2 linked regions of the Macaca mulatta genome follow. The protein of the gene in region 2 interacts with the protein of the main gene of each other region in a pairwise test. Links are inferred from orthologs where the notes say so. Each region holds a gene or a part of one and is shown on either strand. Other genes may lie near its edges.

What was found.
Region 1: the proteins of ZNF774 (region 2) and BEGAIN interact in binary tests that used the Homo sapiens proteins (3 or more experiments, as listed by UniProt). The two-hybrid records come from large-scale screens. The link is inferred for Macaca mulatta from reciprocal best matches to the Homo sapiens genes ZNF774 and BEGAIN.

What each region holds. Positions count from the first base shown.
Region 1 is NC_133412.1:173,917,146-173,921,405, reverse strand, and holds the start of BEGAIN (brain-enriched guanylate kinase-associated protein), read left to right. Parts: upstream 1-1,460; 5' UTR 1,461-1,471; coding exon 1,472-1,900; intron 1,901-4,260. UniProt on the Homo sapiens protein: May sustain the structure of the postsynaptic density (PSD).
Region 2 is NC_133412.1:80,237,168-80,241,381, forward strand, and holds the start of ZNF774 (zinc finger protein 774), read left to right. Parts: upstream 1-1,414; 5' UTR 1,415-1,594; intron 1,595-3,862; 5' UTR 3,863-3,881; coding exon 3,882-3,985; intron 3,986-4,214.

The DNA.
Region 1 (4,260 bases), about 94 Mb from region 2:
TAGCTTAAAGACAAGGGGTTCTTTTTCTTTCAAGTTAAAGAACTACCAGAGGAAGGCCAGGCACAGTGGCTGATGCCTGTAATCCCAGCACTTCGGGAGGCCAAGGCAGGCGGATCACCTGAGGTCAGGAGTTCGAGACTAGCCTGACCAACATGGTGAAACTCTGTCTCTACTAAAAATACAAAAATTAGCCAGGCGTGGTAGCAGGGACCTGTAGTCTCAGCTACTTTGGAGGCTGAGGCAGGAGAATTGCTTGAATCTGGGAGGCAGAAGTTGCAGTGAGCTGAGATCAAGCCATTGTACTCCAGCCTGAGCAACAAGAATGAAACTCCGTCTCAAAAAAAAAAAAAAAACAGTACCAGAGGCAGGTGATGCAGGGCTGGTGTGATGATTCAGTGGTCATGGGAGATCCAGATTCCTTTTGTCTTTCTGCTCCTCCATCTTTTATACATGGCTTCTGCCACAAGTTTGTCTCATGGTGCAAAATGTCTGCCACAGCTCCAGCCATCACTTCCATGTTCTAGAGAAGCAGCAGGAGGATGGGGAATGGGAAAAGGACACAGGTTGTCTGTCTGATCTTTTTCGCAGAGCTCTGCCAGCAGTCACACCCAACTTCTGTTTATAGTTCATTGGCGACCTCCTGGCCTGGCTGCATAGGAGCCCAGGAAAGATGGTCTTTTAGCTAACTACCCTGTATCTCAAAAGAGAATGAAGGCTCTGTAATAAGGATGCACGGGAGGACAGTGGGCTGCCCGCGGCCTCTGCCGACCCCTCCCATTTGCTGGTTTGCTGCAGTTCCAGTTTGCCCTGCTTCAGGCCCAGTGCTCACGCTGTCATGGTGACCATCGTGGCCATCTGTCCACTGCCTGTCCTCTGTGCCCCTGCACCCTGGACTGCACCTGGCAGAGGAGATGTCAGAGTAGGAGAGGGGGAGGCCCAGTCCAGGGTCCTGTGTACCACAGGAGCTCACTCAGGGCGGGCTACCTCCCCAGGCAGAGCCCAGGACATGACCTTCTCCTCTCTAGCACTTTCTAAGCCCTGAAGCTCAGCTTCCATTTAGTGAGAATCGATTTGGGGGTGGGAGGCCGTGAGGCCCTGCCACTGGATCAATGGGCAGGCGGGCATCTGGCTGGTTGCCCTGGTCTGTGAGGACGGGAGGCACAGCCCCTAAGAGGGCACAGGGATCCCAGCCCCATGGGAGGAGAGGAGTGGGTCACGGCGCTCTTGGGGAGCCCAGACCTTGGACTGACTCAGGAGGATGTTCTCAGGGGCCAGCTCCCAGGTACGGGGCTCTAACCCTGCCTGTCCCAAGCAGGGCAGCTACAGCTCCCTCCTGGAGCCCAGGGCAGCAGCCGCCATCAAGGAAGCCCACAGACAGGACCTTCGAAGCCACATGCCAAGCCCCAGCCAAGGTCGGAATCCTGAGGGCAAATCATCTTGCCCCAGCTGGGCAGCTCGGCCCAGCCAGGAGATGGCCCGGGTGTCGCCAGTCCGGCCGTCCTCCCCAGAGTCCCTGAACACAGGCAGCCGGGCTGTCACAGGCTCCCTCGCACGCCTGGGCCGCCGGCGGGAGGCCAGACTGCCCTTCTCCAGGTTCCTGGATGAGGTCACTGTGCGGGTTCTGGACCCTGGGACCCTGGAGGCCTTCAGGGTACCCAGAGGCCGCAGCCCAGAGCCCTCCGCAGTGGATCGAGGCCAAGGCCTGGCCCAGGAGGCCCTTGCAGGAGCTGCAGCCCCAGGGGAGAAGGACCCGGCCCTGAGCTCCCAGCCTTCTTCGGAGGCGGCCGCTGAGGCTGCAAGCAGAGTGGGGCCAGGCCAGGCCGTGGGAACTAGTGGGCCTTGCTTGGGCAGTGGCAAGCGCGGAGGCCGAGCTGCCTCCCCTTGGAGGCCTCCAGGTCGGGTGAGTCTCAACCCCAGAGGTCTCTTCCCTCCTCATGTGCCGTTTCCCCACAGTTCCTGTCTGACCTGCTCCAAGTTCCCTCCCCACACCCCTTTTATAATATCTGTAATAGGAAAGGCCTTAATTGCCAAAGGAATGAATCTCTAAGGTGAAATTTCTGACTTTGGGGCAGGCAGACTATTTCTGTATGGAATGCACATGCGTGAACAGTAATGATAACAATTATCATAATCCTCTCCCCACTGTGGCAAAGCCTTGGTGGTTTACCTCGGGCTTTCCTGTGATTATCCTTTTACAGTTTTGAGCCTGAGACAACCCCACATGAGGCAGGCTGTCCCACAGGCTTGTCAGGCAGGGAGGTGAGCTTTCATAGCTGCCCCCATTACATGGAGTTGGAAACTGAGGTTGTGAGGGGCTGCCACTTGCCCCAGGTGACACAGGGAGTCCTGGCTTGGGCTGTAGAGCTCTTTCATCGTACCCCGTCCACACATGCACTCTGACCTCAGACAGACAGACAAAAGATGTGGTGAGATTTCCTTAGCTGTCCTGGGGACGGAGCTGTGCAGAGCATTGGGCAGGTGGGACCTCACTCAGGGACTGGCACCCCCACCTTGGTGCTGACCTTCCATGCCCTGCACCGTCTGTGTCCCGTGGGCCAGGGAGGACCCCTGGGCTGCCTGGATGTTGCTCGTGCCCCAGTTCCACCTTCTCCCAACACGGGATGGAGGCAGAGGCGGTGGGCTGGGTTTGTGGGATATCAACCTGTAGCCTCCCAGGAAGGCTTTTCTGCTGGGAGGGGTTCTGTTCTGGGGACAAACCCCGGCTGAGTGCGATGACTGATACTCACGGAGCGTTGACTAGTGTTCTCAGCTTCTGACCCCCAGCTTGGGCGCAACTCCAGGAGGTCAGCGCCATCATTATGTCCCCAGTGCACAGAGGAAGAGGGAGGTGGAGGAGCCGGATTGGGCCCAGGCACTTTGCCCTCCACCTCTGCACCTCTGCCACCTGTGTGCTGCTGGCCCTCAGGTCAACTGCTCTGTCCAGGGATGGCCAGGGACAGGCCGGTGGGTGGGAAGTTCTGGTGATTTGAAGCCCTGCCAGCCCTTTCCCCGTAGGTCTGCATGGCCAGCTGGGGCCAGGCAGCTCTGGGTGGAAGCGCATCTCGAGGGTCAGTGGCCTTCTGTGTGACTCTGGACAGGTCACCCAGCCTCATTGTGCCTCAGTTTCCCCAGCAGTGAAAAGTCAGTCATGGTCACAGGCACCTAATAAGCATTGTGTCCCCATCTGCTCCTCCAGGGGGTGGTGAGCTGGGAGCCCCGCTTCTCTGCTGCTCTTGGCTCCGCTTACCATGCAGACCGCCCTCTGGGGACTGCTGAGCCCCAGGGGAGTCCTGGTGCCGCCTGGGCCCTGGAAGATTCCATCCCAGGGCTTCTTGCACATATCTCTCGGGGCCTCAGGGCCTGCTGGGGCCCAACAGTATGTTCAAGGGGCGAGGCTGCACCCTGGGGCCTGGCCAGGGTGGCCCCACCCAGGAGCCCAGCTTGACTGCTTGAAGCGAGAGGTGGCATCAGCCTCAGCAGGAGGGGCTGGACCATACCTGGCCTCGGAGGCCCCGGTCGCCAGGCCTAACTCCTGCTACACCCCACCTTCTCCCACCAGTCCCCCAGGATCGTATCTCATGATGGGCGCCAACTCTGAACCCTCCAGCTCCAGCCTCAAATCAAATACAGCAAGCCTGTGAAAGGGATCCTAGGGTCAGGCTCGTTCCATAAAGCAGGCACTGAGGCCCGGAAAGCTGAGTCCAGCAGAGTCCTGGTTGGGCTGTGCCCTGGCTGAAGTCACACTCCCCCCAGTGTCTCCATGGGGACATTAGAGATAACTGAGGAAGGGCCCTGGCACAAGGTAGGGATTCAGCCGCCGGGATGATAGTGGTGATAAAGATAGTGATGCCAGCCCTTCACAGGGGCTTGTCTGTTGATTTGAGTACCCACTGTGTGCCCTGTACCTTCCTGGCCTGGACAAGCCTCTATCCCCAGAATGCTTTCTGGAGGGGTAGCTCTGGGGAAGCAAGGCAGATCCCGGGCTTCCAGTCACCAGCCTGCAGACCCTTTGTTGAGAGACCGAGCCTGGGGCTCCACCATGAACCAGTTCTGGGAGGAAGCTGCTGCCCCAGGAGAGCCCTGGGTTTCATTCCTGTCCTGTGCTGTCCTGCCTGGCTGAGTGGCCGTGGGTGAGTCTCTGGTCCTCCTCTTCGTTGGTCAACAAACAAGAGGCAGCTGTAGAAGGTCTCTGGGACCTCCGGTTATCACAGACTTGGGACTGAGCCTCATTTATACTAGTGTGAATGACTCAATCCAGTG
Region 2 (4,214 bases):
TATCTTGCAGATGACTACAATTGTAGCAAAATAACTAAGATGCAACTGGCTATATGAAAAAAAAAAAGACAAAATATTACTTAGGATTTTTTTTTTTTTTTTTTGAGACGGAGTCTCACTGTGTCGCCCAGGCTGGAGTGCAGTGGCCGGATCTCAGCTCACTGCAAGCTCTGCCTCCCGGGTTTTTACGCCATTCTCCTGCCTCAGCCTCCCGAGTAGCCGGGACTACAGGCGCCCGCCACCTCGCCCGGCTAGTTTTTTGTATTTTTTTGTAGAGACGGGGTTTCACCGTGTTAGCCAGGATGATCTCGAACTCCTGACCTCGTGATCCGCCCGTCTCGGCCTCCCAAAGTGCTGGGATTACAGGCTTGAGCCACCGCGCCCGGCCTACTTAGGATTTTGATACCTTTTATGGTTTATCTCCCCTTTTGGCCTGTAAACTTCATGAAGGTAATGGTTATGTATGATTCCCGAGTAACCACAGTTCCCAGAACGATCTTGAGTATAGAATGTTCCCAATAAATATCCACTGGAAAATGCACCCTATTTTTGTTGAAGGAATGGTGGAATTAGCATCAAAGGGATCTTCAACATTAACTCTATGGCTAGCAATTCTAAGCGTTTTATAGTACATCACAAAATGGTCTTTCTTTTTCTAAATTACACTGAATCAACAAACGGAGTAGACAGGCACATTTTCTTCACTTTAAGGAAAGACATTATTTTTTAGCTAGGGGCCGACCCAAAGTGACCACTGGCTTTCACATGAGACCCAGGAGCCTCCCCAGTTTGAAGCCCAATATCACATTTCCCAGAATACTTGATGCCCTCGCCCGCCTCCTCTGGCTATCAACCAGACGGAAAGGGGATGCGCCTGGGAGTTTGATGCCAAGGGAAGGATACGGAATGTCTGTTTTCTCCTAAGGGCGTCTGCTGGGCCTTCCTTATGTCCAGTTTGAGTTGGTCTGGGACCCGGCCTCCGCAAACACTCTGCAGGCTCCGGCCGCCGGGTGTGAGGTGGAAGACTGGGCAGAAGAGAGGCTGCAAAGGCCAGAGGGCTGAGCTGCTCTGCGCTGGGGAGGGGCGAGGTGCCAGAGCGCGGGAGACCTCACGTTGGGCACCAGGCTGCTCCGCGGTAGGTGGGTGAGGCCAGGAGATTCACATCAGCAGATGCCACACTGAGGGTACGGCATTTAGATCCCTAGGCTCCAAACAGGCGGTTCCTGGGGGCCGGTAGCTGGGGAATTGGGTTTAGCACTTTTCAACGCTTGGAACTGGATATCCAAGGCTCCGAGTCCTTTGAGGTCTTGCTCGGGACTACGTTTCCCAGAAGGCTAGGCGGTAATTGATAGCTCTGTCAGCCTATGGACAGAGAAACATTCTAGCCATGGAAACTAAAAAGCCAATAGCAAGAGGACAGGGGCGGTACTTTCCGGCTGCGAGCTGTCGAAGCCTGAGTCCCACCTGTGTCCCCACAGCCCTGTCACGAATCCCGGTCGGGTTCTGGGAGGGACCGCCTCGGGGTTGCGGGCCGGGTGCGGCTCGGCGGTGGAGGACTCACTTCCTGCTCCATCCCCAGCTGGGCCCTGGGGCGGTGAGTGATCCAAGGAGGGAGACTGCGGCGGCAGCGGCGCGCTGCTGAGAGGCGTGGAGGGGGCTCGCCCGCCACCCAGACGTTTTCTCAGAGGGGTTCCCACGCTGGCCTTTGGGAGCCCCCGGGTCTTGCTGGGGTGTGGGAGAGGTAGCTGTGGTCTCTATACCGTCGTCGAGATAAGTCATTCTCTTAATGAGTTTTCTTGCTTCTCGATGGTGGTCCCCGGGTTTCAGCTGATCTGCCACCCTCTGACCGCCGCACCCTGGTTAGGGCCCCAGCACCGAGAAGAAGAACGGGGTTCAGCCCCACGCGTGCAGTCATGTTCCTATTAATAAACCCGGTGAACGCACTGGAGATTCTCACAATGGCACTTAGTCACAGCCCCTCAGAGCTGTAGGGCCTTTGAGGTCATCTGCGCATGGGGAAAGGGACGGGCTGGGAAACAGGGTTTCTATAACCGTGGCTAAGAAGTCTCCAGCAAGGGGGCCCTGCAGCTGTGTTTTGTAATGAATGTAGAAATAAAAATTATACTAAAAGCTCTTTTTTTTTTTTCCTTTTTCTTCTTCTACTTTTTTTTTTTTTTTTTTTTAGAGGGGATTTCGCTCTTGTTGCCCAGGCTGGAATGCAACGGTGCTATCTCCCTTCACTGTAGTCTCTGCCTCCCGGGTTCAAGCGATTCTCCTGCCGCAGCCTCCCGAGTAGTTGGGATTACAGGTGTGCGCCACCACACCCGGCTAATTTTGTATTCTTAGTAGAGACAGGGTTTCACCATGTTGGCCAGGTTGATCTCGAACTCCTGACCCCAGGTGATCTGCCCATCTCGTTCTCCCAAAGTGCTGGGATTACAGTCATGAGCCACAGCGCCCGACCAATACTGAAAACTGTTATTACCATTTTTACTTTCTAATTACATTATTGTTGTTTGTTAAAGTTTTAAACCAGAGCAATGGTTTTTAGATCCTTAAAAACTCAATACTTTATAAATGACCAATAATAATGTCTGTAAATACATAAATATTTTCCCCAAAAGTGTGTGTGTGTGTGTGTGTGTGTGTGTGTCTGTGTCTGTATCTGTGTTCCAGTAGTAAATAGGTGCTTTGTAGTGGGACAAAAGATGTGAAAGAGTAAAACTTCTTCACCCTAGTCTGGTCCTTCCTCCCGTGAAATGCAATATTCTTTGTAGTGGGTGGTCATGCTGGCTGAATTTTTTTTTTTTTTTTTTAAGGGAGAGACAGGGGCTCACTCTGTTGCTAGGCTGGAGTGCATGGAGTGCAGTGGCGCCATCATAGCTCACTGCAGCCTTGAACTCCTGGGCTGAAGTGATCCTCCCACCTCAGCCTCCTGAGTAGCTGGGACCACAAGTGCATGCCACCATGCCTGGCTGATTTTTAAAAGTTCTTTGTAGAGAAAGGGGTCTCAATATGTTGCTGAGGCTGGTGTATTGGAAAGTTTTTAAGGGAAAAAACATTATCTTAATTTCTTTGTGACTCCTATGCCTGGCAACATATTGATTGTTGAATAAATTACTGATCCATCCAGTAGTTGACTCTGACTATCCTCCAAAAAGTAATGTTTTTCATGATATTGCTGTCAATTTATTAATATATTAATGATTGGTTTCAGCCTCTAAGAGTTGTGTTTTGTGCTTATCCCCATTGACTTTCACTTATTTTTACAACCTATCCATGTCTTTTTTTAAAAAAAAAAAAACATGTCTTTTTCAGTCTTATTTCTGACTCCATTAAGATCTTGAAATAGAGTGGTATCCAACACAGTTCTCTTTGGGGTTCTGCATAATCTGTCCCTTGAGGTTGACCCCAAATCTGCAAGCCAAGAAGTCAGCTGTTCTCATAACTAATATGAGTATAGTTAAGTCCACAATTTCCTTGGTTGCTGAGGAAAATGAAGTTGGGGAGAATCAAAAGCTTTCCAGAAATCAAATTGTACCTACCAACTCTCTCCTTTGTTTACCTTGTTCATCGTGGACAATTTTTTCCTCAAAAAGTTAATGTATCTAAAAGACTGGGTTCTGTCCATGTGTTTGGGAGGCCTAGGCCTCTCTTAGTAATGGGAAAGTTGGCCAGGAGAAGATGTATGTAAAAACAGACTAAGAAAAGCAACCCTCTGTGGTTGACAGAATTTACCTCAGGACCATTCTGATCAGGTGTGGGGGGTTGTTTGTGTACACTGATGGCCATTTTTTGGCTTTCAGACAATGGTGAGAATACCTAGGGAGCTACTGATGCATATCGAGGTCTCTTGCTTTAGGAACTGATGACCCTTGATAATGTGGCTGAGGACTTCAGGGAAGAGTGGGTTACCTGGACACTGCTTAGAGAATCCTCTTCAGGAATGCCACCCAGCACAGTTAGAAGAATGGGCTATCAAAGGGTAAGAATGCTACTCTCCTTTATTTTATTTATTTATCTTGTTTTTTTGAGATGGGGTCTCGCTCTGTCATCCAGGCTGGAGTGCAGTGGCGTGATCTCGATTCACTGCAACCCTTGCCTCCTGGGCTCAAGCAATTCTCCCACCTCAACCTCCTGAGTAGCTGGGATCACAGGCATGTGCCACCATGCCCAGCTAGTTTTTGGTGTTTTTAGTAGAGACAGGATTTTGC